Linked DNA regions of Caenorhabditis elegans. The protein of the gene in region 2 purifies or fractionates together with the protein of the main gene of each other region. This does not show direct contact. Each region holds a gene or a part of one and is shown on either strand. Other genes may lie near its edges.

Evidence for each region.
Region 1: the proteins of cyn-1 (region 2) and lbp-2 fractionate together in Caenorhabditis elegans (co-fractionation; one large-scale study listed by BioGRID). This does not show direct contact.
Region 3: the proteins of cyn-1 (region 2) and asp-14 fractionate together in Caenorhabditis elegans (co-fractionation; one large-scale study listed by BioGRID). This does not show direct contact.
Region 4: the proteins of cyn-1 (region 2) and glrx-10 fractionate together in Caenorhabditis elegans (co-fractionation; one large-scale study listed by BioGRID). This does not show direct contact.

What each region holds. Positions count from the first base shown.
Region 1 is NC_003284.9:3,257,139-3,264,226, reverse strand, and holds lbp-2 (Fatty acid-binding protein homolog 2), read right to left. Parts: upstream 3,618-7,088; 5' UTR 3,426-3,617; coding exon 3,108-3,425; intron 3,052-3,107; coding exon 2,938-3,051; intron 2,892-2,937; coding exon 2,838-2,891; 3' UTR 2,757-2,837; downstream 1-2,756. Other genes in the region: fbxb-71 (F-box domain-containing protein), read right to left, coding at 66-1,113, 1,157-1,224; lbp-1 (Fatty acid-binding protein homolog 1), read right to left, coding at 4,474-4,527, 4,586-4,699, 4,758-5,069; lbp-3 (Fatty acid-binding protein homolog 3), read right to left, coding at 6,164-6,226, 6,295-6,408, 6,455-6,636, 6,683-6,821. UniProt on the Caenorhabditis elegans protein: May play a role in sequestering potentially toxic fatty acids and their peroxidation products, or it may be involved in the maintenance of the impermeable lipid layer of the eggshell.
Region 2 is NC_003283.11:14,352,183-14,359,177, reverse strand, and holds cyn-1 (Peptidyl-prolyl cis-trans isomerase 1), read right to left. Parts: upstream 3,103-6,995; 5' UTR 3,098-3,102; coding exon 2,834-3,097; intron 2,771-2,833; coding exon 2,456-2,770; 3' UTR 2,357-2,455; downstream 1-2,356. Other genes in the region: Y49A3A.4 (ShKT domain-containing protein), read left to right, coding at 828-1,147, 1,823-1,920, 1,965-2,278; Y49A3A.3 (tRNA:m(4)X modification enzyme TRM13), read right to left, coding at 3,468-3,896, 3,943-4,193, 4,236-4,728; vha-13 (V-type proton ATPase catalytic subunit A), read right to left, coding at 5,260-6,026, 6,127-6,355, 6,637-6,995. UniProt on the Caenorhabditis elegans protein: PPIases accelerate the folding of proteins. It catalyzes the cis-trans isomerization of proline imidic peptide bonds in oligopeptides.
Region 3 is NC_003284.9:6,441,978-6,450,874, reverse strand, and holds asp-14 (Peptidase A1 domain-containing protein), read left to right. Parts: upstream 1-4,210; 5' UTR 4,211-4,268; coding exon 4,269-4,365; intron 4,366-5,180; coding exon 5,181-5,309; intron 5,310-5,574; coding exon 5,575-5,711; intron 5,712-5,757; coding exon 5,758-6,153; intron 6,154-6,198; coding exon 6,199-6,358; intron 6,359-6,413; coding exon 6,414-6,498; intron 6,499-6,546; coding exon 6,547-6,643; 3' UTR 6,644-6,690; downstream 6,691-8,897. Other genes in the region: grl-6 (Ground-like domain-containing protein), read left to right, coding at 14-171, 218-446, 491-613, 657-839; fah-1 (Fumarylacetoacetase), read left to right, coding at 1,967-2,050, 2,103-2,329, 2,823-3,067, 3,114-3,269, 3,395-3,648, 3,753-4,043; K10C2.7 (uncharacterized protein), read left to right, coding at 7,442-7,606, 7,651-7,773.
Region 4 is NC_003279.8:1,045,099-1,052,605, forward strand, and holds glrx-10 (Glutaredoxin-1), read left to right. Parts: upstream 1-4,497; 5' UTR 4,498-4,504; coding exon 4,505-4,588; intron 4,589-5,306; coding exon 5,307-5,540; 3' UTR 5,541-5,629; downstream 5,630-7,507. Other genes in the region: Y34D9A.7 (PSP proline-rich domain-containing protein), read left to right, coding at 1,244-1,480, 2,858-3,088; Y34D9A.8 (Low-density lipoprotein receptor domain class A), read right to left, coding at 5,826-6,031, 6,818-6,927, 7,471-7,507.

The DNA.
Region 1 (7,088 bases), on a different chromosome or scaffold from region 2:
TGACGATGAGGGATGCAAAAATCAATATTGCAATAATTTATTAAATAAAACTGAGAAATCATATTTCAAGTATAATTATCATCATTAAATATAAACATTCGAATTCTGAGATGACTGTCAGTAATGCAATACTTTAAAGTTGCTATTGATCCATTGGCTCTTTTGATATCCACTCCACCTTTTATAATCCTGTTTTTGAAACTTGGGATAAACTGGTCATATCCTTGTACAGATAGTGGAAAGTCTCTTACAAAACTATCTGGTTGCTTCTGAAAGTCCACCTTGTCCAAGATCACTGAAAGATCGTCCTCTACGCTCATTCCTTTCGGGACATCAATTTGAAAGTACTCGAGCCTGGGGTTTGATCCCTTTATCCAATGTCTGACGAACAAATTCAACTGATTCGAGTCGATAGCAACTTGCCCAAAAACTAAAAAAATGTTTGTGGAGAGAATATCATTAAGATTATATTTGTACAAGTACATCGCTCGTAAGGCATCAAAGTTTTGAATCAAGAACTCTTGAGTTGTGTGAGTTTTAGGTTCAAATACTGGAGTACAGAGATCAAGCGAGTCGCATTTACTTGCAATGTGCCTCATAATCTTTTGATGAAACAATGAGTCTGACATTTTTCTGGGATTCATAAAGCATCGAATATCGAAATCTCGGAACTCGTCGCAAATCGATTCAGTGCAATAGTTGTCTTTGTTTATTGCGAATTCATCAAGTTTTACTCGATTTAAAACATCCAGTAAGTGATCAACATACTTTCGTAATCCCATGCTCGGAATGCTCATCCAAATCACTCTACCAGTTGTTGAACTTTGGATTTTCAAATGCTCTCCGTTTCCGAACTTTTTCATTTTTTCTGGACCGTCAATAACTCCGTTGTGGATAAGTTGATCCATAAAAAACTGGGGATCTTCGACCGGAAGACTACGATGCATGTTGGAGAAAAATGTGAACTTGACTCGATCGTGGCGTTGGGTGACTTCGAATTTCCAGATTTGAACTTCCACAAAATCATTAATGTCTATTTCAACCACAGAGACGTTTCGATGCAGAGATTTTGCAAACTGTTTTGTCTTTTTCGAGACAAAAGAGAAATTCAATCTGAAATTGTTTAAATTTAATTATGATAAAGATAATAACTTACATTTCCAGAAGATCGCAGTGTTGAAGTGTGCATCGGAGAGCCTTTGAAGGTAGTTGTAAAATATTCATTACAGCAGAATGAGCAGTACAGACAAAATGACGGAGAAGGTTGAGTGGACGAAAGCGAGTGGAAGAAAAAAAGAGCAACTGACGTAAGACTATCCACTACTGTGCAAGATGACTCTGACGTACAAGGGAAAATGGACTATTCTGAATCGATATTAGGCAGCTGGCTTGTGGAGTATGGGAAGACACAGTTGACCACTGGAAATGCTAACCCGCGTTACCGTGAGTTACAATAATTCGTTGTCTACGTGACAATCCCTTTGCACGTAAGATATGACTAAAATTTCTCATTTTTAGACATATTCGTAATACATACAGTTGCAATGCAAAATGAAGACAAAGAAAATTTTGAAGGTAAAGCATTGTAAAGGAATTTTTAAAAAATGTATTTATTGTAGCAAGTGCCAAAAAATGTATACTAGCTTGTACGGACGTTTTTTTTTTTTAATTGATAAAAATATATAAAAGCTGATTTTTTCAAAAATTCAAAAGTATGGGAAAATCATATGGAGTCATTCTTTTTTATTTCATAAAACTGTTTAGCATAGTCAAAAATACCAGAATATGCTAATCAAAGTATATTAGCTTGTACGGAAGTTTTTTTTTTTAATTGATAAAAATATATAAAAGCTGATTTTTTCAAAAATTCAAAAGTATGGGAAAATCATATGGAGTCATTCTTTTTTATTTCATAAAACTGTTTAGCATAGTCAAAAATACCAGAATATGCTAATCAAAGTATATTAGCTTGTACGGAAGTTTTTTTTTTTTAATGATAAAAATATATAAAAGCTGGTTTTTTTCAAAAATTCAAAAGTCCTGGAAAGTCATATGGAGTCATTCTTTTTTATTTCAGAAAACTGTTTAGCATAGTCAAAAATACCAAAAAATGCCAATCAAGTATAATAGCTTGTACGAAAGTTTTTTTTAAAATTACATTTTTAGCACATTTTTAGCACATTTTTAGCACATTTCAAGCACATTTCTAGCACATTTTTAGCACATTTCAAGCACATTTTTAGCACATTTTTAGCACATTTTTAGCACATTTTTAGCACATTTTCAGCACATTTTTAGCACATTAATGGCACTTTTTTTTGTATGATAGAACATGTAGAATATAGGTGCTAAGTGATCTTTATCTCTGCATAAATAATTGAAACAAAATTAATGTGTAAAAATAGTAGAAAATTTTTTTGGTCCACTTTCAAAATTATGAGTGGCAATAACGGAGTCACTTTTCAACAGTAAATGAACAATTTTCCAAAATTATTGATATTTGGTCCTTTTGGCACCATAGGCGTAGTTTTTTGCCAATTTCCCACTGGTGCTACTCAACGTTTAGATGAAATCACATAAAGAAAACGACAACTGTAGTTTAAATAATGGTTGTTGCAGAATTTGGCAGCGAGATCATACTCTAGTGTTAAGTTTCTTACCTCAACATGTTCATTTTTTAATCTGTAGAAAATTAAAAACTAATAATTGGGATAATACATTCCACCAAGATTCCAAATTGAAAACATCAGAAGATTGCTTGAAAATAAATTTATTTTTTTCGGAAATGAAATTGAATTGCAAATTTAAGAAAATTTCAATAGAATAAGTTTAAACTTTTATGGGAGTCTCTTGTAGAATCTGCGGCCTTCGATATTGTTGAAGCTCATCTTCTGTAATTAACAAAAATGTATGTCAAATAGATTGACCAAATTTTACCTGAATAAGAAAATCTCCATCAAAGTAATACTCATAGGTTTCTTCCTTGGATTCTCCCTCTTCAAGTGGCTTGTGATGTTCGAACAAGTGTCCGTCCTTGAGAGTGAAGGTAACCTGAAAATTATAATTGAAATAAAAATAAAATAAAAAGTACATGGCATGGAACTCACCTCGTGCTTGGTGTTATCAAGACCCTCTCCTTCGAACTTGCTTCCGATCTGGACGTTTTTGTAGAACACATCTTTTTTCGATGTCAAGTTGGAGTAGTCGAAGAGGTTTTTGTTAGCATTCTTGGCAAAAACCTTCTTGAATGTCGCAAAGGTTACAAGCTTTCGAGTGAACCATCCGTATCCTTTGGCAGTGAGGTACTCATCAAAATTTTCAGAGTGATCCAAGTCGAAGGTTCCATAGAACTTTTCTGGAAGCTGTTCGGCAGCCACAAGGGTAGCTCCACAAAATGCGAGTAAGATGAGGAATTTCGAAGACATTTTTGTTCAAGTCAATGACTGAATGACTGAAGTGTCCACAGAAATGAAGATTGATCAAGACTCCGCCCAGTTGCTCAATCGACAACACAATAAAACTGAGGTCAGCCACGTGTGTAATATAGGGTCACGGCACGGATGGCAACAACAAATTGATGATCGGACTTACTTGATTTTCAAAAATCCTCACAACACCTGGAAGCTAATAATAAACAAAATTTAAGAGACCGAACGAAAACAATTCATCGATTACTTGTTGAAATGCAGAATGAATTTTGTCGAAATAAATTTAAACGCGTTAAGAAAATTGAAAAGAAAACTGCTACGTTTTTTGACTGCACATCAAACAATTTAAGACTTAAAAAAATATTTTTAATGAGGTCCTCAAGATCCAATGATTTTAGTTATTAAACTATGTATTTTGAGAAATGGTTCTTATTTAATGGTACCTTATTCAGAAATTAAATGTGAAAATCAGGAAAAAAAAAATAAAAAAGAGCATACGAAAGAGTAGAAAAAACTCCATTTTATAGAAAACTTTCGAACACAACATCGAAAAAAAAAAACCGAAAAGTGATTGGATTTTGACCCACCCGAAATTTTAAACTGGTTGTGTCCTTTTTGTGTTTTGAATTACGTTTTTGCAAATATCACGGCGCAATCGAACTTTCATGTTTTGATTCCAGCATAGGTTCAATTCATCTGATAATTTGATTCTTAATTTCAAGTCTTCAATGTGCAAAATTTTCTTTTTAACACTTGTGTCACTTTTACACGTTAACAAAAATTCAAATTTTAATCAACTTTGCTTTCTAGAACTCCTAATATGTACATTTTTAAACCAGTGAAAACATTTCCCAAACAAAAAACTTCAGAGGGCTATGCAGCATGAATCACAAAAGAACCGCGTTATTTTTCTTATTTTTTGCCCCATATCACATTACAGAATCGATCTAACTTTTCAGTTTATTTGAAACTTGAAATACATCAGTGGCAAAAAAAGTACATTGAGAAATCAATTCATACAAAAATTACAATAGTTTCTGAATATTTATGGGAGTCGTTTGTAGAATCGGCGTCCCTCAACTCCATTGAAACTCATGCGCTGAAAATTACAATCATGAGAATGTGAAATTGGTTTTTAAAAAATGTTTATAACTTACCACAAGAAGGAATTCCTTATCGAAAAGGTACTCGTAGGTCTCTTCCTTGGCGTCTCCTCCCTCGAGTGGCTTGTGATGCTCAAACAAATGTCCGTCCTTGAGGGTGAAAGTGATCTGAAAATTAATTAATTAATCAATTTGAAAGGTTACTTGAAAACTTGCAAAAGCGTACCTCGTGTTTGGTGCTGTCAAGTCCTTCTCCCTGGAAGGCTTTTCCAAGTTGGACATTCTTGTAATGGACGTCTTTCTTTGATGTCAAGTTGGAGTAGTCAAAGAGGTTCTTGTTGGAAGTCTTAGTGAACACCTTTTTGAATGTGGCAAAAGTGACAAGTTTACGAGTGAACCATCCGTATCCTTTAGCAGTGAGATACTCATCAAAATTTTCGGAATGGTCCAAGTCAAAAGTTCCATAGAACTTATCAGGGAGAACAGCAGCTGAAGCAGCTCCAACAAGAACCAGGAGAAGAGCGATTTTAGCGCACATGGTTGGCTAGGTCGATGAATGAACGACTGACGTCTTGGCAGGACTGTGGGCTGTGTGTCGACGTCGTCTGCGTGGACCCCGCCTACTTGCACAGTCGTAAACAACATTGTACGGCAAGAAGTGCAGCCCACATGTCGATTGCGCTGACGATTAGCAGAGATGGACGGCTGGACTCGGATGGGTATCGAAAGAGAGTGTAGCATAAATGATTCGGGGCAGATTTTTTTTGTTCCGTGTGTTGGGGTCAGTTCGGATATTTTTGAAGAGAGTAGTTGCATGAATCGGGTCCTGGAAGACCGAACAATCAACTCAAAATAATTTCGTTGAAGGTTTAAGGCGAATCGAATTGCAATTTCCTTATTTGGTTGATATAATTTTATGTTATCATTATCTTTCATAGTCTATAGTATGATTCTCCATTTCTTCAGCAAACATTGAATACGGCAACAGGTCTTCAGGTCTGCAGTTCAAAACACAATCCATGCAGGGCTGGGACTTTGGAAAACCAAAAAAAACTACCGGAAAAAATTATGAAAATTTTTATTCATATAGAATTCGACCCACAGAAAAAGAAAACGACTTCAGAAAAAAAGTTTTTTTGCCGCAGAATTTCGGTACATTCGGTTTTGGGTTTTTTTGGTTTCAAAATGAAAACGAAAAAATATTGTAAGGATCCCATAAAACACAATTTTTCAAAAATATTTTTAAACTTTCAACACTAGCTAAAATTTTTAAGACACAAAATTGTTTTTTTTTCTGGTTTTCAAATGTTTGAGCCCTATTCCCAGATGACAGAATTCATATTAGAGATCATTGTTTTCCAGATGGCCTTTCCCGTAAATTGGCCAATACGATTCTCACGTTTTATTGGGCTACAATAGACCCATCTACTTTGTACCTTGGCTAATCTGTTCTATGTCCACTTTCGATGTTTGACCTCCATCTGTTCATTCGTTTTTTTTTGTGAGATCATGCAATTTTTGAAAATGGCAGAGCAAGTCTAAAGGGACAATTGTTTATTTAAAAGGACAGAAAAAATAAACATCTGTGATTAATAATGTGAAGAGCTCAGTTTTATGTTGTGTTTATAATTTCTACTTCTTTCCGGTCGATCGCTTGAACCAACGACGGCACGTGATTCCATTGTTGACCATTTTCTAAAAATGAGAAAATTAGTGGAAGAAGTTGTAAAATGGAAAAAAGGAAAAGAGAACGAAGTACACACCATGACAAGTTGATCGTTCTCGATAGTGTAGTAGTACGTCTCCGCGCTGTGTTCTGGGTCGTTGAGTCGGATATGGTGCTCAGACAAAACTCCGTCTTTGAAGGAGAAGGTAATCTTAAATATAACAATATTTTTAAGACACTTGAATATTTTTTGAAACCTTGTGTGCAACTCCATCAAGGCCTTCTGCCTCGAAAGTTTTCCCGAGCTCCCACCCGTGGTAGAGTGTATTCTTCTTTGAAGTCAAGTTTTCCATGTTGTATTTTCCAGGAGTTTCATTTTTGGCCAGCACCTTGCTCACTTTTGCCAATTTGATCATTTGTCTCACAAACCAGCTCACTCCTGTAATTAAAATTACTATTAAATGTACACTATCAATTATTTTTACCTTTAGCAGCCAGGAACTCGTCAAAGTTCTCACTTCTGTCGAGATCATACTTTCCAAAAAACTTCTCTGGAATTTCAGAAGCCGCCTCAGCCATAATTGCTAAAAAGCAAAAGGAGAATAAAGTTAAGTACAGATTCATGACGAGTAAATGTATGAAGAATCGATTGGTCGCAAGAGCAGATGGACAATGATTTTATCTTGGGGGTTAGATCTATCTATATTCTTCTTCTTCACTTGATTTATTACATAGGCCCAATGGCTCGGTATCATTGAGATCCGAAATTGTGAGCATCTGCCTCATAGCCCTATGCTTTGAGTGTACTCTGGAGCACACAAAATGCACAAAATATATTACATTGGAATTTGGAAAGATTGGAAAAAAGTTAGAAAAAAAACAATTAACACA
Region 2 (6,995 bases):
TTTTTGTAGAATCAACATCCGCTGCCCTACCGCCCATAAATTTTGGAAAAGGATCCCGAAAGGGATCCAGAAAGCTAATTCTTTACTTATGAAACTGAACAATTGTTTTTCAAAACTTGCAGTCACATTTTCATATATGACCTATAGGTTTTCAAGGTTCAGAAAAAATTGATATTTTGTTTGTAGTAGAGATCGTGGCGGGACCCACTCGGAAAACAACGTGTGTTTTTGAACTAAAGTGTCGAGTTTTAACAGAATAACAACGATAGTGGCCGCTGCGGGGATTGAACCCGCACCTTGTGCCTTACCCTTACCCACTTGACCACACACGTCTCATATATATATATACAGTCGCTGACACGAGCCCAATTTTCGTCGGCTGCACGTTGAATGTTTAGCTGTTCATTTTTCCTTTGTGCCAGGTTCTCTAGGCGGATGGGGTTTCTCGGACATTTTTCCCTTCAAAAAGAGAGCCTCTCTTGAGCCACAACGACCCGTGGCTGACAATGCTGAAAACTTGGATGTAGTTGTTTCCCACCCCCCCCCCCCCCCGTCTATTAAATTTGGAAAAAAGGATCCTGAAAGGGATCCGAAAAACTTCATATTTTGAAGAAACCTTTAGTCCAAAACAAAAAGTTTCTGTTGAACCCGCGTTTAGATGTAAACCAATTGTACAAACAAGTGCTACTGTTGTTCTTTTCGATGCACGCTCACTCTTTTGTACATTTCTTTCTATTCGAATCTGAACTCTGGACAAACAAAAATGGAATCTCTTCACCCGAAAAGGGTCGTGCTCTTTCTATAGTCTATTCGAATACTTTTCAATAATGCTTCAGCTATTTTTATCCATTTCTCTAGTATTTATCCATACAGTTTTGTCTGAAAAATGTGCAGATGCACATCATGATTGTAGATTGATTGCTGTTAAATGTTTATCACCCAATCGAATAGAACAGAAGCTTATGGAAATTGCTTGTCCTCTTACATGTGGATATTGTATTAATTCTAAAACTGGTGGAACAACTACAAGTACAGTACCCACAGATGAGATTATCAAACCATTCAAATGTATTGATGAAGCTGATGATTGTGCAGATAGAGCCAATTTTTGTCAGAGAAAGTTCTACAAACGCATGATGAGTTTACAGTGAGTTTTTGTCTCATTTTTCTCCAGCAGCAAATTTTAGGAATTTTGCGCCAATACGGTACCCGGTCTTGGCACGACATGTATTTTCTTGTAAAAATTTCAATGTAAAAACACGTGCGGTTTTAAGGAGTACTGTAATTTAAACATGTATTCTGTTTTCATTGATTTTTCAGTTTTTGTTTAAAAAAAATTTTTTTAATAGAGTTTTCTTTTTAACTAAAAAACTGTAAAAATCGATCAAAATTCCCCAGAAAACCCGAATTATAGTACTCTTGAAAAGCGCACGCCTTTTATGGTGCGTCCATAGTCTGCGGAAAACGGGAAATTCCCGCTTGCGGAAGCGTCCATAGTCTGCGGAAAAAAACAAGGAGTTTCTCGCTTTGTTATTGGTCAATTTCAAAATAGTGGGCGTGTTCAACCAATTAGGGGCTGTAAAATTTTAAGCTGAGCAATGGGAAAACAAGAAACAACAGCTGATTGGTTGGCCACTCCTACTTTTTTGAACTTTGAGGAAAAAAAAAAGCGAGGAACTCCGGTTTTTCCGCAGACTATGGACGCTTCCGCACGCGGGAAATTCCCGTTTTCCGCAGACTATGGACGCACCATTAAAATTAACAAAAATTTGTCGCGTCGAGGCCAATTAGTGTATTATTAACTTTTTAAATGCAATTTCAGATGTGCAAAAACCTGCAAATTTTGTGTTGACGATGACGAGTACGAAGAAGAGGAAACAGAGGATAGCCGGGAAATTCATATTTCGCATTTGAAATCCAGTAAGCTTCTTCCGACCTGTTTAAACATATTCTGAAATATTTAGAAATGGGTGAAAAAACTGTTCAAAAATTGGAAGAGTTGAAAATAGTTGACAATGTGATTGATCTTCTGAGAAATGCAACAACTCCCACGACGTTCATGGAAAAGAAACCGCGAAGGTTCTCGAAAAGAATTGAAAATATCTCATCGGAAATGACTGATACTGCAGAATGCGTGGATCGAGCATCAGATTGTGAGAGGAATCAGAAGTTGTGCACACATAGAGCCTATTCTCCACTTTTTCGTAAAATTTGTGCGAAGACGTGTGAATATTGTACATCGGCAGATGATATTGAGTCTTCTGGTGAATTTTTATAGACCATTGCTTTTGCTTTTCACTTTTCTGGTAGAAAATAAATCTGTAAGACTTAATTTTTTCCAGTTATTTTTCGAAAAAAAACTAAAACTTTACTAATTAAAAACAATTAATTAAAAAATAATAACAATTTGCTAACGCTAATGAAAAATATTTTTGAAACAAAAAAAACAATGAAGTTACTCGCTCTTCAACTCTCCGCAATCGGCGATTGTGACAGTCTTGGCTGGGGCTCCGGATCGGGATCCCATCTTTTCGATCTTCTTCACAACAGACATGCCGTCGGTGACTTGTCCGAAAACGACGTGACCTCCATCAAGCCATGGAGTGTCGACTGTGCAAATGAAAAACTGAGATCCGTTGGTGTTTGGTCCAGCGTTGGCCATTGAAAGGCATCCTGGTCCGGTGTGCTTAAGATCGAAATTCTCGTCCTTGAATTTATTTCCGTAGATTGATTCACCACCAGTTCCGTTGTGGCGAGTGAAATCTCCTCCCTGAAGAATTGAATAATGTTAATGAAAAATAGTTAAAACTCATAGTTCGAAACTAAAAATTACCTGAATCATGAACTCTGGAATGATTCTGTGGAATTTTGATCCCTTGAAGTGAAGTGCAACTCCTTGCTCTCCGACGCCCTTCTCACCGGTGCACAATGCGCGGAAATTCTCTGCTGTTTTTGGGACAACATCGTTGAACAACTCCATGGTGACACGTCCTGCTGGTTCTTCTCCAATACTCACGTCGAAAAACACCTTCGGTCTTTGAGAGGCGAATCGAAGTGATTGACCGGCAAGTGAGGAGGCACGGAGTAGAAATTTCATTTTACCTGAAAAAAGAAACAAAACTAATTCAAAAACGTGCAGAACAAAGCCATAGGATTGAATTTAAAGTGAAAAAGAAAATAAAATAAATACTAATCTGACAAAGCGCAATCAAATTCTTTGCTTGCGCGTTTCTCGTGCACGCGAAAAACGCCAAGAGATTTGCGAGGTAATTCAAATAATAACAATTTTTGTCAAATATCCCACCGTACTATTTAAAGGCGCGTGGTTTAGAATGTGTAGGTATCGCATAGATTCTAATTTTTGTTCGAAATTAATAAAATTTTGTATATTTATTTGATTAAATGTTCAATTTGTTTCGATCTATTTATTAAAAAATATTACAAATCATTTTATTAAATGCGTGATCTTATTTCAAAGCTAAAATCAATAAATTTTCCGGTGATACTTCTGGCGGCACGTATTCTACAACTCTCGTCTTGAATCCAACACTTTCCAGCCAAATTGCTCGTCCGATTTCAAGGATGGCTTTCGCTCTTCGTCCAAGCTCTAATGGCGGATGAATTGACTTCCATCCTTCAGTTGCTTCTGTATCAACTGCTCCATTTGTTGCAAACGATGCAATATATCGAAGTGCAGCAAACGAAGCTTCATCATTCATTTCCCATTTCTCCAAAAAATCATGTCCTCCATATTCTGCGAATCGCGATTTGTGATGGCAACAAGGGATCAGAAGTGCAGCGTTGAATTGTAGACCACTATTCATCAACGATCGAATTCCAGCGTCTGTCGCGCTTCCACAAAAATGTTTACAGATTGCCAAAATCTTTTCAGAGTTCTAAAAAAAGATAAAGATTTTTTTGGATAAAAACTGTAAAACTCACCTTCAGCTCATCAATCTTGCTCAAGTCCATATGTTCAATTGAGCATCGGAAGCGTTTCATTGATAAATTCGGATTCTCTCGAAATGCAGCAGTATCAAATTTATTTCGTGATCCAGAGCGATCCATGAGAATATAATTTCCATTTGGCGCTGCTTTGGAGATCCAATAAGCTAGTTGACCTTTTCCAGCTCCGAGCTCGAACATGCAAGATTTGGAGCAAGTTGGAAGTAGCCCTGTGGATTCGATGTGACCTGAAAAGAAAATTATTAAAATGGAAATGCATTTTATAAAACCTAAAATAGACGAAATCTGGTATAATTGCTTCTTTTTCGTGTTGTTCAGATCTGAATTTTGTGCGATATTTTGCTCGACGAGCTCATTTCTTTGTTGCTCAACAATCAAACGATCCATTACATCCGTCTCATAGCACTTCCAGATCTTGTGCACAGTGGTACAAATCTCATCTTCAGTGGCTCTTCGATCAATTTTATCGGTGCGTTTGGTCTCGCCACGAATAGAATTTGCATCAATTTTGATATATTCTGCATCTCTGATTCTAGAATTACACCTTGTCAGATGAATCTCTAGATCTGCCTTCAGAATCGTATGTTTTCCATCATTCGGGCAAACCATACGATCAGTGTTATTCTGATCGTGAATTGAATGCTCTCCACAGAACCGATTTCCCTTTTTCACCAGCATCTTACACCGTCGCTTCTTAATTGGTAGAATATATTCACAGCAAGCGTTCTGCTGTTGTTGCTGCTTCACCGAATCCAATTCCATTTTGAAAACGAGACCTGCGTGCGAGATATTTGTGATTTTCCTAAAGTTTATTGCTATAGTTGAATTGGTGTGTCTCAAAAGTATTATACATATCACAACACAGTAAAACGTGGTTCGTAAGACTATACGGGTTGGTTGTCGCAAAAAAAGAAATGGAAGGGCACAAGTAAAGTAGTCTATTCAACAAGAAGAATACCAAAAATATTGATTAATATAAGTGAAATTGTTGTTTAAAACGGGAGTTGTAAGGCGACCAGATACATTGTGTGTGGTTGGAATTTTTTGAAGTTTAGAAATCTACAAAAGAGAAAAAAGGTGCAATAAATATCTGAAATTTGGAATGTCAAATCAATCAAACACTTTAAAGAGGATAAAAGTAGAGAAAGGAGGCGAATTGGGTGAGGGGATCAAGGAAAAACATATACTTTTAACTAAAAAGTACACGCTCAGCAAAACTGAACAGAATCTAGCGGGGAGGCGAAAACAGAAACAAACAAGAGAATCAATTTTAAAATTTCTAAAAACATTAATTTAATCCTCGAGGTTTCTGAAAGCGTTAGCCATAGCCTCTGCCAAATCTTCGTAATCCTTGCGAATCTTGGCTTCACCATCGGCAACTGGATCCTTGAATTTCATGGCAGAAAGCTGGTAGATCAAATCTCCCATGCTATCCTTGATGACGTTCCATGTGATCTTGTTATCAGATTGAGCAGTTGCTTCAACAGCATGACGGGCCAAGTCATAGAATCCAATCATATTCTTGAGCATACCGACAGTCTTGTAGAATGGGCAGAAACGATCGTATTTGGTGTATCCGTTCTGTTGCAAGAAATCGTCCTTGATGATCTTGGCAACCTCAAGTGTGACCTTGTCTGATTCGGCGAGGGAAGCTTTTCCGACGAGTTGCACAATTTCGGAAAGATCTTCTTCTTCCTGGAGGATCTCCTTGCACTTGGTACGGAGTGAGACGAACTCTGGGTAGTTCTTCTCGTAGAACTCCTCAAGAGCACGCATGTACTCGGAGTAGGAAATAAGCCAGTTAATAGATGGGAAATGTTTACGTTGAGCAAGCTTCTTGTCAAGTCCCCAGAACACCTGTACGATACCGAGGGTGGCGGATGTGACTGGATCGGCGAAATCTCCTCCTGGTGGTGATACGGCTCCGACAATGGTGACGGATCCTTCACGTTCTGGAGATCCGAGACACTTAACACGTCCGGCACGTTCGTAGAAGGAAGCGAGACGAGCGGCAAGGTAAGCTGGGTATCCGGAATCGGCGGGCATTTCTCCGAGACGTCCTGAAAAGAAAATTTGAAAATGTTCAGAGAAATTTCAAAAATATTAAGAAAAAAATATGAATTTCAAATATGAGTATATTTTAAACGGATTAAAACTCACCAGAAATCTCACGAAGAGCTTCGGCCCAACGAGAGGTAGAGTCAGCCATCATGGCAACGTTGAGACCCATGTCACGGAAATATTCGGCAAGGGTGATACCAGTGTAGATGGAAGCTTCACGAGCAGCGACAGGCATGTTGGAAGTGTTGGCGACAAGAGCTGTACGCTTCATGATGGAAGTGGTGACACCTTCGACCTCCATGGTGAGCTCTGGGAAATCACGGAGTACCTGAAAAACAGAAAAAATTAGAATTGTAAAAAATAGGGGCAAAATTGTTAATTTATAATTTAAATGCGGGACAAAACATTGGAAAAAGTAAGAAACATAAACCTTTTAATTTTTAATTGTTTTCTAAATTTTATTCTTAAACGAAACTATTCTGACTAAACTTTTTCACAATTTTTTTTTGAAAAATTAAAACTATTGATTCCAAAAACGAAATTATGGAAAGGCTTTCTTGTTTATTTGATTTTTTCTAATGTTTTTAAAATTATTTTCAAAAAAATTACCTCAGACATTTCGTTTCCACGCTCTCCGCATCCGACGTAAATAATAGCATCAGAGTTGGAGTATTTGGAGAGAGATTGGGAAATGACAGTCTTTCCACATCCGAAAGCTCCTGGAATGGCGGTGGTTCCTCCTTGGACACATGGGAACAAGGCGTCGAGAACACGCTGTCCGCAGAGAAGTGGATTGTTGGCAGCGAGCTTCTCTGTGACTGGTCTTGGAGATCTGACAGGCCAGATTTGGAGCATAGAGAATTTCTGCTTGCGTCCGGCGAATTCGAGCTCGAGAAGGGTGTCCTCAACTGTGTATTGCCCGGATGGAGCAACGAAGGTGATGGTTCCGCATGCACTTGGTGGTAGAA
Region 3 (8,897 bases), on a different chromosome or scaffold from region 2:
TTCGGATTTTCAGATTTCATTTCATTTTGCCTTTGCTCAGTACCCATTTGGTAGAGGAGGGTGTGGAGGATGCCCGACTCCAATGTGCCAACCAAGAATGCCATGTGCTGCACCGATGCCAATGCCGATGCCAATGCCAGTCTGTCCTCCACCTCCACCATGCCCGGCTCAGTAAGTTTCAGCAATAAACCTAGAATATTCACATGCTTGTTCACAGATTCTGTCCACCACCACCAATTTGTCCTCCGCCTCCACCACCGCCAATGCCATGCCCTCCACCACCTCCACCAATGCCGAGACCATCTTGCCCGTGTATGATGCAACGACCATCGTTCTACCCATCATATGTTCCCCAGTACTATCAGCCAATGATGCCTCAGCCAATGCCAACAGCTGGAGGATGTGGAGGTGGTGCAGTTGTACCATCAGTCAGAATTCCAGCTCAGGTTGGTAGATTTTTGAAAGAACCTTTAAGAAAATATCATTTCAGAACGATTGTTGCTGTGGCTGCTCATCGCCATGCAAGTACAAAAGTGTGAGACGCGCCGCATTTGCAGCCAAAACAATCGACCCTTCGTGTAACAGTTCCGAACTGAAAAACATTATCCTTGATGTGAGTACACTCGTTTTGCACGTCAAGCCTACTCTCTTTTCAGAATATTAGCGAAGATGCAAGTGAATCAAAGAGGAACATTCAGAAAATTGCCGAAGAAACACTAGGCCATGAGGTGAACGTTATTTGTGGTACAGGAGAATTCAGTTACATAGCTCATACCGATACATTCTGCCAAGCATTTAAGGAAGATGTCACCTGTTATGCATTCAAACCATTGCAATAAACTTATTTGGTGTTTTTTTTTTGTCTGTATTTCCTGCTTTTTCTGTCCACTACTGGCTTCAATAAATTAATTTTTTGAAAGTTTTTAATTCAATTTGATTTCGTAAAAGCAAAATCCAACAAGATATAAAAAGTTTGAAACTAACACTTATACTCAACGACAGTAGAGAAAGTGTTAATTCAATAGTTCATCGCTGTTGGTGTTTGTATTTTCAAAATGTTTAACCTTAAAAAATGTTTCTTGTGTATTACAACCCTTTATTATAGAAATAAATTATTTTTATATTTTTTTGACCATTTCACTCGCCGTACCTGTTTATCAATTACCGATAATATTTAACAATACAACTCACCTTTAAGTTACAACTTTTGACCTGCTCAGCAGGCTGTGGTGATCTGAAATCTACAGGTTAAAAACCTACATCCGATTGTGAAACGTTTTCTCTACTCGAAATGGTGGTAAGAGTTTTCTAAGATACAAATTGCTAGAGACCGTTTTTCTTCTGATATAAAAAGCGTTTTAGTAGCAATTTATCTTCATGGAATTGAGATTTCTATATTATAAACATAAGCAACTCTAAAAAACACTAGTTCTCCACTCTTTAAAATCGTCATACTCCTACTTGCTTTTTATTCATGAAACAGTATCATTGCCAATGCAAACAAACAACTATAGAATAATGCCATCCAAACATTCAAGAAAAAATCATCACGTGACTGTTTCGCAATTCAATTTGCATCCAATGTAGTTTTCTCTCTCTTGTCAAAACTTATCTGATATACTCTATTGTTTTATCCAATTGACGTCACTATCATCATCTTATCTTTTCAATTAGATTTGTGAGACCTTATATAGCGGTTTCAGTGGTGCACATCTGTCATTGTCACTGTCTGTGTGCAGTCATTTTTTTTGGTTATCGTTTTGTTTTTATTGGTGGTCGTTTAGTCGTGTATCGACCTTGGCCTATGCGTGTACGACTCCTTTTTGTATTTGTCACTAGCACCCTCTCCAACCTGTATGCTATTTTCTGTTTCAACGCCGCATGCGTGTACAGTTTCGGAGACATAACAGACTGCTGTCTACTCAACTCCATTTTTCAAAACTTGTATTGCTTTGCAGGCTAAATCATGAAATCCTTCGTTTCTGTTCCTCAAAACTCGGATTTCCCAATTCAAAACTTACCGTATGGTGTTTTCTCAACAAAGGCTGACGTAAGTGTATAAATAATTATTTCTAAAGCAAAATTAAACTAAATATTTTCAGTCTTCCCGCCACATTGGAGTTGCAATTGGAGATCAAATCCTCAACTTGGCAGAAATTGCCAATCTTTTTGACGGACCTCAATTGAAGGCACATCAGGATGTTTTCAAGCAGAGCACATTGAACGCGTTCATGGCACTGCCACGTCCAGCCTGGTTGGAAGCTCGTGCAAGAATCCAACAACTGCTCTCAGAGGATTGTGCTGTTCTTAGGGATAACGCTCATTTGAGGTGAATAAGTTGGCAAAACAAATTTGAAAAAGTTAAAAAGTAGTACAAAGTGTGTCTGATAATCTACTAACCAAATCTAAACAACTATTTCACAAGTTTTAATTTTTATCGTTAGTTTATAATTGCAAAGTTGAATCAATACTGTGCAGCAAGTTGGCAAGTTGAAATGTATATAGAAGTATGTGAAAATGTTCGGTCAATCTGAAAAAAATTATTTTATTGAGAACGCCTGGAAACCCGTCAAAGTTTTTGAAATACTTCATTTGACTTTAAATATATCGTTAAACTTTGTTGGCGACTTGTAGGCATTATTTTTAAAAAAATCTATTTCAAAATCGAGAAAAACCTACATTTTTATATTAATTTTTGATTTATAAATTGAAATCTCATACTGTAATTAGAAGCTTTGTACGTTTTGCGCACAACTTACATATAACTCTGTTTAAAACAACCAAGAAACTTTGTAATAATATTCTTATGTTTTTATTTACAGAAGCCGGGCTCTTGTCGCTCAATCCGATGCTACAATGCACCTTCCAGCTCAAATCGGAGATTACACCGATTTCTACTCCTCCATCCATCACGCCACCAACGTCGGAATCATGTTCCGTGGAAAGGAAAATGCTCTGATGCCAAACTGGAAGTGGCTTCCGGTCGGATACCACGGAAGAGCTTCATCAATCGTTGTATCTGGAACAGACTTGAAAAGACCAGTTGGACAAACTAAGGCCCCAGATGGTAAGATTTAGATTTGCACCAATAATGCAAATGTGTCCGCTTTCAGCTGAGGTTCCATCGTTTGGTCCATCAAAGCTTATGGACTTTGAGCTCGAGATGGCGTTCTTTGTGGGAGGTCCAGAAAATGAATTGGGAACTCGTGTTCCAATCGAGAAGGCTGAGGATCGTATCTTTGGAGTTGTGCTCATGAACGACTGGAGTGGTGAGTAACGATGTTAATTAAATATCAAACAAAAACATTTAAACTCGACATTTTGGTGACAAGAAAATTCAACAGTAGTTATTTTCAAGTTTGCTCCATACTCATCCGAAAAAAAACTTTTCCAGCTCGCGATATCCAAGCTTGGGAATACGTTCCACTCGGCCCATTCCTTGCTAAATCCTTTGCCACAACTGTTTCTCCATGGGTCGTCTCAATTGAAGCTCTTCGTCCATACTTTGTTGAGAATCCAGTACAAGATCCAGTTCCACCAGCATATCTCCATCACGATGACCCATTTACCCTTGACATCAATTTGGCCGTCAGTATCCGTCCAGAAGGAGATGCTGTGGACCATATTGTCTGTAAAACTAACTTCAAGGTATGTTCAAGTTTAGTAGAAACGATATTATCTACACTGTTCACTGTAAATTGGATCATAAACGCTCGTTAAGGTTTTCTCAACTACAATACTGTAATTTCTAGCATTTGTATTGGACTCTAAAACAACAACTTGCTCACCACACCGTCAATGGATGCAACCTCCGCGCTGGAGATCTTTTGGGATCAGGAACTGTATCTGGACCAGAAGAAGGTGCATATGGATCCATGCTCGAGCTTTCGTGGCGCGGAGCCAAAGAAGTTCCAGTTGGCTCAGAAATCCGAAAGTTCTTAAAGGACGGAGATGAGGTCAACCTTTCTGGAGTTTGTGAAAAGAATGGAGTCAGAATTGGTTTCGGAGAGTGCCGCGGAAAAGTCCTGCCAGCCGATATCTAAAATCATCGTAATTAAATCGTTTTGCTTTTTGTTTCATTCTCTCGTTTGTTAGTAGTATCTCGTCGAATAAAGTTCTGAAGCCCACGAAAAGTGATGAAAGTGGAAGTGTGCAGTGTCGAAAATGATAGGGGTTTGTCACGATTTTTTGGTTTCTATGTTATCAGTTCAAAGCATGAGCGAATAAATAGGAGAGCTGGTTGCTTGGAAATCATTCTCAGTTCAATCATGATCAAGACAATCTTGCTTTTGGCCTTTGTGGCCTCGACCTCAGCTTTTGTGATTCCTTTCAAAGTTCATGCTGCAGTTACCAACATTACCAAAGGTGAGTATGAGAATTTACAGATTTGTTTCAGATAAAGTGAAATTTGGTGTTTGTAAATGGAAGCCTTTACAAAATTTAAAATGAACATTTAAGCATTATTTTTGATTTTTTTTTTGAATTATTTTCCGAAGCGTATAAAAATTTCGATCACGTTTGATTGAACATGAACATTTAATGGTACATTAACGTTATATTTTATTCAAAATAGGGATAGACACGTAACTGGGAGTAATAATAGTGGAGAGCGGTAAGTTGTTTTAAGAGCACGTATATATATATCCCGAAGCCACATAAAATGTACAGTGAATGAACAAACATTATTTCCTTTACGACATTGAGTAGAATGTATTTAACTTAGAATAAAGCTTATAACTTACAAACACAATGTTGCGGTTGATTTCCAATTATATATTGGTTGTTTTGAGAATTATGAACTGAAACTTGTGTGGTATGATTTTTCCATCATTTCCAACTATTTGAAAACATTTTATATCAACTTTTAGAAAAAAACTTTTTTTTTTTGATTTTTTTGGAATTTTTAAAAAGGGGTATTTTGGCACTTTCAAAATGTCGTAACTTGATCAAACCTGCTCTGAAGCAGCTAAATTTTTGGAGTGATCATCTGTAACTATTCTCTATCGAATGTATATAGTGGCGTAACGAAGTCCGATAACGAGTTCAGAGCCTTCCCTTGTTAGGAATAATGGTTTTCTAAATCTATTACATTCCACTAGTGAATTGTTTTGTACTGAAAATTACTTTTGGTATATAATACACAAGTTCCTTAGATTTTCAAAACTGAAGTTTAATTCCAGGAGGACAAACTCTGGAGCAAACCTCAACCTTCTTCGTTGCTAACTTGACCATGGGAACACCAGGACAACTTTTCACTGTTGTCATTGACACTTCGACCGCTGACATTGTTATTCCAGATATGAGTTGCAGTGAGTTTCAACCAATCGCTTTCTTGATTGCAATTTGATAGTTTTACGACTTTTAAATGTATAAAACATCTCGAACATAATCACGAAATGATGACAGTTTTTGTCAGCTTTTGCTGACAATTTGCCCTATTATATCGGCACTAAAATCGTTTTTTATGTTGATTATCGGTCAAAGACTATCACTTAGTGCACATAACATTCCTAATTTTGAAAACTCCACACTACTGATAAGAGTGAAAAAGATACAAACTGGAAAATGTTTCAGAGACCGCAAATAATTGCTACAACAAGAGAAGATTCAACCAAGCAAAGTCGTCGTCTTACTATGCATATGGAAATAAGTACACGTACAAGAATAATCTTGGAACTTTCCAAGGATTTGATGCAAAAGACACTGTTGTGGTAATACTTTCAATTTGTTTTTTAAGTCCTAACAATTTTTTTCCAGATCGGAGACCGCAAAACTGATTTGATCACCATTCCAGGCGTGAAGTTTATGCAAGCTACCGACCTCGGACTTTTGATGGATGGATTGGGTGCTGATGGAATTTTGGGATTGGGATTCACAGCCTCATCGCAAATCGGTGGAAACTCACCATTCGTTCAAGGTGTTAACGCTGGAGACATTTCGGGCACATTCTACTCCATCTGGCTCGAGCACTTCAACCAAACTGATGATCTCGGAACCCACGGAGTTATTTACTACGGAGGATTTGATCCAGTGCACTGTGCTCCAAACCCAACATACGTCCCATTGGCTTCTGCATATGCATACCAACTCACGATGTCTTCCTTCAAAGTTGTAGGATCATCCGCCACCAACTCCAACAACAAGTACATTCAAGTGAGTTTATTGCATCTCTTATGTATCAACAAATATAAATTTCAGACTTACCTTGACACCACCACCGCCCAAATTGGACTTCCAAAAACTTACATTAGCCAGGTGTTTGACTCCCTTGGCATCAGCACAAACGTTATGAATGCTATCTACCCAACAATTGTTCCATGTAACACTAAGATCACCCTCACTTTTGGATTTGTTTCTGGTATGTCGATTTCAGTGTACCTTCCACTTGTTTTACATAATTGCTCTATTTTCAGGTACAACAGTCTCAATTACGGAAAGAGATCTTGTTATTAGCTTCTTCGGAACATGTAGACTCCAAATTATTCCAACCACTGATAGGTAAGGAATGATTGAGAAGATGGATTGAATCATGCAAAAATTTTTCAGAATCATTCTCGGTCTTCCATTGTATCGTGGACGTTGCACATATTTCGATCCAATCATGCAAAGAGTCGGGTTCACTCCAGCGCTTCTCCAAGATTAGTGTTAATATTTGAAAGTGGAATAAAAATAAATCATTAAATTTAAAAAGTGCCGTTATGCGGTTCATATTCAGATTCATTTGAGAAATTTCTGAAAACATTGTAAGACTATTGGGATAGTTGGGAATGGGTTTAAGAACATATTTGATAGTATTTCTGATCTACACATAGTAATGTTCTACAAAGTTCTAGAGTGTTTCAAAAACTTTCCCAAACTTTCAGAACGTTTTATATTCTCAAATATACAAAGATTTCGAAGAAAGTATCTTAAACTTTCCAAAACTGATCATTTTCTGAATGTTGAAACGAACTAACTTGCCTACTATGTAGTTAGAAGCAGATTCTACATAGGGCGGTTGGAAGAAGTTAAACATAGTAGGCTAGTTAAAGCATTCGCTGTTGCATGTGCAACCGGTCGGTCCAAATAACGTCAAACAAACAAAAGGGACTAAAAAATTTTTCTATTTAAAAATTATCAGTAGAAATGTTAGTAAAAACATATCATTATTCTGTTCTAAAGCTTATTGGATAATGACTGACGAAGTTTGACTCATTGTATCGAATGATCATTTTTTAATGTAAACATTCACATCTAACAATTACTGTATGGTTGTCATAAAATACAAAATGACATTTTCCATTTAATAAAAAAGATCATCAAACATCACCCGACATATTCAAAACGATTTATTTGTTACATTGTCTGTTTTGTATTGTGACTCAAACTGTCTCATAAATACTGCTTGAAACACATAACTATATAAGAACCTGTCTTGCAACAATTCATTAAAATCTTCACCATGCTAATTATACTTGTTGCGGTTTTTTTAGCTCAAGCTAATGCCAGAGTGGTTGACATAGCAACCGACATTGTGAACATGGCTGCTATAAAAGACCAACTAAATTACGAATGTAAAGACGTAAAGGAGCAAACTCAATTCCAAAATTGCGGCAGCTCATTTTCAGTAAGTTTCCCAGAAAATAAGTTGGTGACAGTAAAATATTTCAGAAAAGTTTGGCGATTATCCAAAACTATCAAAACAACTCAACAAGACAACCAACTCTTCATGAAGAGCTGCTTTCACTTAATAATGTAGTGAGATGGATGTCATTATGTACAAAAAAACAATGAAAATGTGTGTAGTGCACAAATAAAAATTCATGAAATTACCTCTAAAATCACTGAAATCGTTCATAGCTTTTCCACAGAAATGAGTCCGAGTGACTGTTGGAAAGAGGTACTTTTAAAATGGTTTTTTTGGTGTATGTAAAATGATTGTTCAGGACGAGCTATATCACCAATACGTTTCTTGCTCAAACAATTATGGATTAACAAATAGAAATACTCTAAAAGAGTTGGACGTTCTCCGTCAAAATCAAGACGCAATTGTCACCTGCTTAGATCAACACATGGAATCTTCTCAAGGATGCAACAAAAAAAATCGGCACGAAGTCGCAACAATCGTGAACAAAATTGTAAATTTGTATAATATGCTCAATCCTGATCACAATTGCAACTAATTCTCTTCGTTGTTGACACTATATGAGATGTTAAATAATGAATAATCGAGCATTTCAACACATATTGAATATACACCGAATAATGATAAATTTCACGGAACAAATACGATTTGCAAAATATACTTTTTAACTGCTTCTCTAAAATTTGAATATGCACTTTGTCATCGTCGACATTTCGGAATGTGTGAAAATAGAGCCAATGCAGCAAAAGGAAACAATTTGAAAACACTTGCTTTAAAACAATTAGTTTATTGTTGCAATATTTTAAAAAAGTGTCCAAAACATGCTAGTACTTTATTTCAGCTTTACGTGTTAAAACTTTACAAATACCGTGATGTTTTAACTGATATGAAACATTGCTCGCCAAATATGATGTTTTCCACTTAAACAAAACAAATTGCGCGTCAGATATGATGTTTTTAAATGAAATAAAAATTTTGCGTCAAATATGATGTTTTCATCTGATATAAAATATTGAGTGTCAGATACAATGTTTTCAACTGAAATTAACAAATTTTTAGTGATTTCAAAAAACATACTGTAGGTATTCCGAAGAAGTGAAAAATCGCAATATTGAGTTTAAAATACTGTTGTGAAGGTTACTCTCTTCTTGATCTAAAATAATATGTAAAGTAAAAAGAAGTTTGAATTTATGAACATCAATATTCACATTGATATAATTGAAAATTCTAAGAACACATAATTTTTGACAGTTTCAATAGTTGCGTTATAACG
Region 4 (7,507 bases), on a different chromosome or scaffold from region 2:
CATTTTCATTAAAAAAAAAAAGCAGAAAATTGCAAAAACCAAAAAAATCAGAAATCTTTTGGATTTTGAACCTTTTTTTTGTGATTTTTAGCTTTAAAAAAAGTAGAAAAATCGGCAAAAATTTGTTTTAAAAAAATATTTTTTCAAGTTTTTATTTGAAAAACGTAAACTGAAAATTATAGCCAAATTATTGATATATTTTATTAAAGGTGGACTAGCGCCAGTGGGGAAATTGCTTTAAAACATGCCTATGGTACCACAATGACCGAATATCATGATAAAAAAATTCAAAAAAATTTTCTAAATTTTATATGATTTTTTAAAAATTGAAAAAATCTCAGTTTTTGCCTAATTCCTATTTGAATTTCCGCCAATTGGATTTGTTCGATGGAGCGCGCTTGCACGTTTTTAAATTTTTTTATTTTATTTTTTGTTATTTTCCACCGATTTTTAATGTTTTCGGTGTATTTTTGCTCTAATTTTAAAGAAAAAGTGAAAATAAATGCAAATTTTCGATTGAAAAACACGATTACAGGCGTAAATCAGTGAAATTAATTAATTCAGATTCGAAATCGTTTAAAATCGGTACTTTTTCATTTTTACGCCTGTAAGCGTGCTTTTTAATCGAAAATTTGCATTTATTTTGACTTTTTCTCTAAAATTCAAGCAAAAATACACCGAAAACCTTAAAAATCGGTAGAAAATAACAAAAAATAAAATAGATAAATTTAAAAACGTGCAAGCGCGCTCCATCGAACAAATCCAATTGGCGGAAATTCAAATAGGAATTAGGCAAAAACTGGGATTTTTTCAATTTTCAAAAAATCATATAAAATTTAGAAAATTTTTTTGAATTTTTTTATCATGATATTCGGTCATTGTGGTACCATAGGCATGTTTTAAAGCAATTTCCCCACTGGCGCTAGTCCACCTTTAATAAAATATATCAATAATTTGGCTATAATTTTCAGTTTACGTTTTTCAAATAAAAACTTGAAAAAATATTTTTTTAAAACAAATTTTTGCCGATTTTTCTACTTTTTTTAAAGCTAAAAATCACAAAAAAAAGGTTCAAAATCCAAAAGATTTCTGATTTTTTTGGTTTTTGCAATTTTCTGTCTAATTTTCACTCCAATTTTCATAGATTTTTCTCTAAAATCATTTGCTTTGGAAAAAATTTGAAAAAAACACTTTTTTTTCTGAAATTCAAAAAAATGTCACTTAAAAAAAAATGTCATTCCAGGAAGTTGCCAGAGATCACGAGGGCACCGAGAAAATCCGAATTCGTGAGGAACGTCACCAGCGATCCGAACTTCGGAAGATCCGAGAACAGCAGAAAGAGGAGGAGGAGCAACAACAACGAGATAGTGCAGAGAAGGTGGAGAAGGAGGTTACTGTAGATCAAACCATATCGGAGGTGGCAGCGGCGGCGGCGGCAGTCGAGGAGAAGCCTGGGACCCCGGAGCCCGTTGGGAGAATGGTAATTTTGAAAGAAAAAAAAACCGATTTTTTACCAAAAATCAATCATTTTGCCATTTACCATTTTTTCCAGAATATTGATTTTTCCAAAAAAAAATTTTTTCTCAAGAAAATCTATTTTTCCAAAAAAATTCGATAACTTTCCGAAAAATCTATATATTTCCAGTTTTTTTTTCAGTAAAAAAATTTCCAGAAAATCGATTTTTCCAAAAAAAAAAATCCATATTTTTCTAAATTCAATACTTTTTTCAAAATAAATCGATATTCTTTTCATTTTGCAAATATTAAATTATTTTGTCTAAAAATTTTTTTCCAATCGATTTTTGTAAAAAAAAAGGTTTCCAAAAATATAAATTTTAAAAAAATCGATATTTTTTTTAAAAACCTGTTTTTTTTCCAAAATTCCAAAATCCTTTCAACTTTTACCAATTTTTTTTTGAAAAAATTCGATATTTTTCAAAAAAACTTTTTTTTTAAACCAAAAATAAATATTTTCCAAACTATTTAAGTTTTTTTCGAAAAGTAAATATTAAAAATAAAATAAAAATGAACTTTTTTCCAAGTTCATTTTTATTTTTTGAAAAAAAAAACGTTTCTAAAAATCTTTATCCTTTAACCAAAAATAAATATTTTCCAGAAAATCGATATTCTTTATAGATTATCGATTTTTTTCCAAAAAAAAAAAATGTCCTGAAAATAAAATAAAATACACATTTTTCTCTATAAGTCTATACTTTTTTCCAGAAAAAATTGAATTTTCTCAATAAAAAATTGATATTTTTCTCTAGAATGCTATATTTTTCCAAAATAAAATCTAAATTTTATTCCAGAAAAAAAGGTATTTTTTCTAAAAATCAAAAAAAAAATCCAAGAATTCTATATTCTCAAAAAACGGCATTTTTCAAAAAAAAAATCATTTTTTTCAGTAAAAAAATTTTTTTTTTCTAAAAATCAATATTCTTCCAAAAAATTGAAATTTTCATCGATTTCTCTCCCAAAAATATATATCTCCAGAATATCGATTTCCAATTTTTTTTTCAAGGTTTTTTGTCCAAAAATCGATTTTTTCTTTCCAAAATTTTTCCAAATTTTTTTTCCGGTGAAATCAATATTTTTCAATATATGTAATTCCAGATTATCGATTTTTTCTTTTCAGAAAACATATTTTTCCAAAAAAAAAAAACGGATAAGAAAATCGATTGCCGGAATTTTGTTGAATACCGGCAAATTCCCAGTTTGCCGATTTGCGGGAAATTTACAATTCCGGCAATTTTCCGATTTGCCGGAAAAAATCGTTTTCCGCCCACCCACCTGATTCAAAAGTCGATATATTTCAAAAATTGATATATTTCCAAAAAATAACAATATTTTTCCACAGGGAGAATCAATTTCGGAATTCATCGGCACCCCGATCTTCTCCCGCCGTGACGTCACGGGTACGTGGATTGAGGATACTGTACCATCGCTCGAAGCGTTTTCCGTCGGCATTGTGCCATTCGAGGCGAAAGAGGAGGAGAAGCCACGTGGCATTTTCAAAAAAATTATGAGTACTTTGAAAGGGATCACTGGAAGAAATAGTGGAGATGATGAGATGAAGAAGAAGGAATAATTTATTGATTTTTTTTTTTTTTTTGGATTTTCGACTTTAAAATTAGCCTAAATTTATCCTAAAATTATCCTAAAAATTAAAATTTCACATGGTTGACAAATTTGCAGTGGAGCGCATTTGCAGAATTTTTTTTTTGAATTTTTTTTTCATAAAAAGCGTAACATTTTCCAAATTAATGGGATTTTTAAAGGAAAAAATTATCCCAAAAATTTTAATTTTCTAATTGAAAAAAGTGTTATTAGCCCAATTTTTAAAGGTTTTTTTTGCAATTTTCATCAGAAAAAGCGTTAAAAATATCAATTTTTCGTGAAAAGTTGATGAATTCTCTCAAAAACTCGGCAAAAAGTACCGCCAAAAATTCAAATTCTCCAATTTTTCATCTCTACCAGCAAATTCGCGATGGAGCGCATTTGCAGAGTTTTTTCAGAAAAATCGTAAAATTTTCCGAATTAACGAGTTTTTTTTTAAGTAAAAGTGATCCCAAAAATTCAAAATTTTCCGATTTTTGAAATTTTTTTGGTGCAAAAAAACTAATTTTCAAATTAAAAAAAAGTGATTTGTCTAAAATAAAAAGCGTTTAAAAAAACCTTTTAAAAATTTTTTTTCCCAAAATTCACGTGGTGCCAGGGGCTGTCCCATCGACGGTTTGATCTACAAAAAATGCGGGAGTTTTTCGCCCAAAAATGTTGTGACGTCAGCGCTTTCTTAACCATGCGAAATCAGTCCCCGCGCATTTTTTGTAGATCAAAGTAGATCAAATCGAAATGAGGCATTCTGACACCACGTGAAAATTTCAAATTCTCCAATTTTTCATCTCTACCATCAAATTTGCGATGAAGCGCATTTGCAAGGCCTTTTTTTAAATTTTTTAAAAACTCCTTAAAGTTAAAAAAAATCATTTAGCTTTAGAAAGCCCAAAAATTAAAAAAAAATTTTTTTTTAATCGAATATCAAAAATGCATTTGTGCTCCACCGCACGGCGGTAATTTCGAAATTTCTTTAAAATTTTTTTTATAAATTTCTGTATTTCACAACTGTATTTTTTCCCGAATTTTCCTCGCCTAATAACACTATTTGTCATGATTCTTACGTCATTGTCGCCGCCGTTTCTCTTTTTCTCTCGCCACTCTCTCATTTCCATACACTATTTCCACTCTCATTTTTATCATCATTTTCTTCAGTTTTTGCTGCTTTTAAAGCCTATGTTTTCCCTTTTTATATAATATCGCAGAATTTTGTTTTTGTAAATTTAATATATATATATATATATTATTTATTTGATGATAATGTGATTTCTAATTTTTTTTTCCCCAATTTTTTTCAAATTCAAATTGTCTCTACGCTTTTCTTATACTTCATTGCCTTTTTTTTTCAACAAAAATTTGAGAAAAAACACCAAAAAATTTCAGAAAAACCATGTCAAAAGCCTTTGTCGACGGACTTCTCCAATCTTCCAAAGTTGTCGTATTCAGCAAATCGTACTGCCCGTACTGCCATAAGGTAACACAATTTTTCTGAAAAATTTGAATTTTCCTCGAAAATTGCTTTTTGTCATCAAAAAAAAAAAAAAATTTTTCTGAACAATTTTGTCCTAAAAAATTTGCTTTTTTCTGGATTTTCAGCGAAATTTCCCAATTTTTTTGAAAAATTTATTCCAAAAAAAATTATTTTAAAAAATCGTGTGCAACAGAGCGCAGTTGCACCAGTATGAAATTTTGCAAATTCAATTTAACTTAAAAATCAAACATTTCTGTATTTTTCTGAAAATGCAGAAATTTTGGGTCTCGTAGCGATTTTTTTTGAGAAATTTTCGGAAAATTGAAGACAACGGCAAAAATCAATAATTTGCGAAAAAATCTGTCACGGGGTTCTGGCATTCCTCATTGAATTTTTCGCGCTCCATTGACAATCGGCTGCCGGACAACGCGTGGGAAAGTGTCGTGTACTCCACACGGACAAATACATTTAGTTTTACAACTGAAATCGAGCCGCGACGCGACACGCAACGCGCCGTAAATCTACCCCAGATATGGCCGAGCCAAATGGCCTAGTTCGGCAAAAACTCTTCCATTTCAATTTATGAGGGAAGCCAGAAATCCGTGAAAATTGAGAAAAATATTATCCATTTTCAAAATCTTTTTTTTGCAAAATTTTTGAGTCTCGGATACATTTTTTAAAATAATTTTTTGAGAAAAATTAAAAAACCCCAATTTTTCAGGCTCGTGCTGCTCTTGAATCGGTCAACGTGAAGCCCGACGCTCTGCAATGGATCGAAATCGACGAGCGCAAGGATTGCAATGAGATTCAGGATTATCTTGGCTCTCTAACCGGAGCCCGCTCGGTGCCACGTGTCTTCATCAACGGCAAGTTCTTCGGCGGCGGTGACGACACAGCGGCCGGAGCCAAGAACGGAAAACTCGCCGCACTGCTCAAGGAAACCGGAGCTCTATAGAATTTGAATCGCCATTAATTTTTATGTATTTGATTTATTTTTTTCTTCATAATTCAATGACACAACCCGAGATAAAAGTGAGAAAAGAGAGAAAAGTAGTACAGCCAAAACACGTGGTGTTAGCAGAGTGTCTCATTGCGGCTTGATCTACGCTGATCTACAAAAAATGCGGGAGAAGAGACGCAGAGTTCTCACATTTTTCTGGGCAAAAAATTCCCGCATTTTTTGTAGATCAAACCGTAATGGGACAGCCTGGCACCCCACGTGCCAAAAAAAAAACGAAATTCAAGAATACATAGAACTGATTAGAATATCGTCTTCGTCGGAATCCTGTTGCAGTATGCTCGGGCCCCCGTGCCCGCCGCCACGTCGATTTCGAAATCCGGATTTTTGTCGTGATCGCCGACGAATCACAGCGACTACGGCAACCGAGAGAACGAAAAACGCGACAAAGGCGAAGAAAATGTGCGAGTATTGGATTGTGACGGTGCCTGAAAATTAAAAAAAAAAGGTTTTTGATGAATATGCGCGTAAAATTCGGTGTGTTGCGAAGTTTGGCTAATTTTTGGCGCATACCATGAGATTTACTGCAAAATTTTCAAAAAAGATATGTTGTTTCACACGTGGTGCCAGGCTGTCCTATTACGGTTTGATCTACAAAAAATGCGGGAATTTTTGTGCGAAATCGGTTAAGAACTCTGCGTCTCTTCTCCCGCATTTTTTGTAGATCTACGTAGATCAAGCCGAAATGAGACACTCTGGTGCGCCACGTGGTTTTACATAGTTTAATTAAATTTGCGCGTAAGATATGGTGTAATATGGTGGCTTTCAATTTGAAAGTTTGCAACAATTGCGCGTGAAATATAGTGTTTTTTTGAGGTTTGGGATTAGTTTGCGCGTGAGATGCAGTGTGTCCTAGTTCAACAGAATCTTGCTCGTATGGCGTAGTATTACAGGGAACACAAAATTCTGAGAATGCGTATTGCACAACATATTTGACGCGCAAAATATCTCGTAGCGAAAACTATGACTACTGTAGCGCTTCTGTTGATTTACGGCCGCTTGATTTGTTGAAATTAATTAAAAATTTAAATTGAATGTCGCTGTGGCTATTCGAAAATATATTCATTTCGACAATCGAGATCCCGTAAATCGACCTACAGTAGTCATTCAAAGAATTACTGTAGTTTTCGCTACGAGATATTTTGCGCGTCAAATATGTTGTGCAATACGCGTTCGCGTAATATAGTCTTCGAAATAAGAAAAATCAATAATACCTGAAGATTCAGCGGTTATCGTCGTTGTCTCCTTCACCGCCGCTACGGTGGCCTGCACATTTGTCTGTCGTGGTTGAGCAACTCCCTCACGAGCCATCGGCGCTCCGCCCCTGGAATATCGATTTTATTGATTTTTTATAGAGCGCAATAGACTCTACATATTTGTGTACACAAACCCCATATCGAATAACTCCGGAAAATCGGTGATCTCCTGTTGAAGAATATTCGAGAGAAGCGAATCCGCCATTTTATCGATTTTTTTTGGATTTTTTTTTCAACAGGAAGTGGAAACTGGAGGAAAAACGAGCCAAGGAATTGGGTGGAAAATTTGATAATTTTACTGATAAGGAAAATGTCGTCAAAATGCTATATAAAATATAAATTTTATTTCGTAACAAGCGTGAAAAAATGTACCGCACAGCAATGACTATTTATTGATTTTTACAAGCCGCACGTGGTGTCAGAGTGTCTCATTGCGGCTTGATCTACGCTGATCTACAAAAAATGCGGCAGAGTTCTCAACTGATTTCCCATGGTTCAGAACGTGCTGACGTCACATATTTTTGGCCAAAAAAATCCCGCATTTTTTGTAGATCAAACCATAATGGCACCACGTGGAGCAATTTCTCATTGGAGCGTGTTTGCAACCTAACCTCGCTTCGCAATTCCACTCGTCGGACCCGTCGGTGC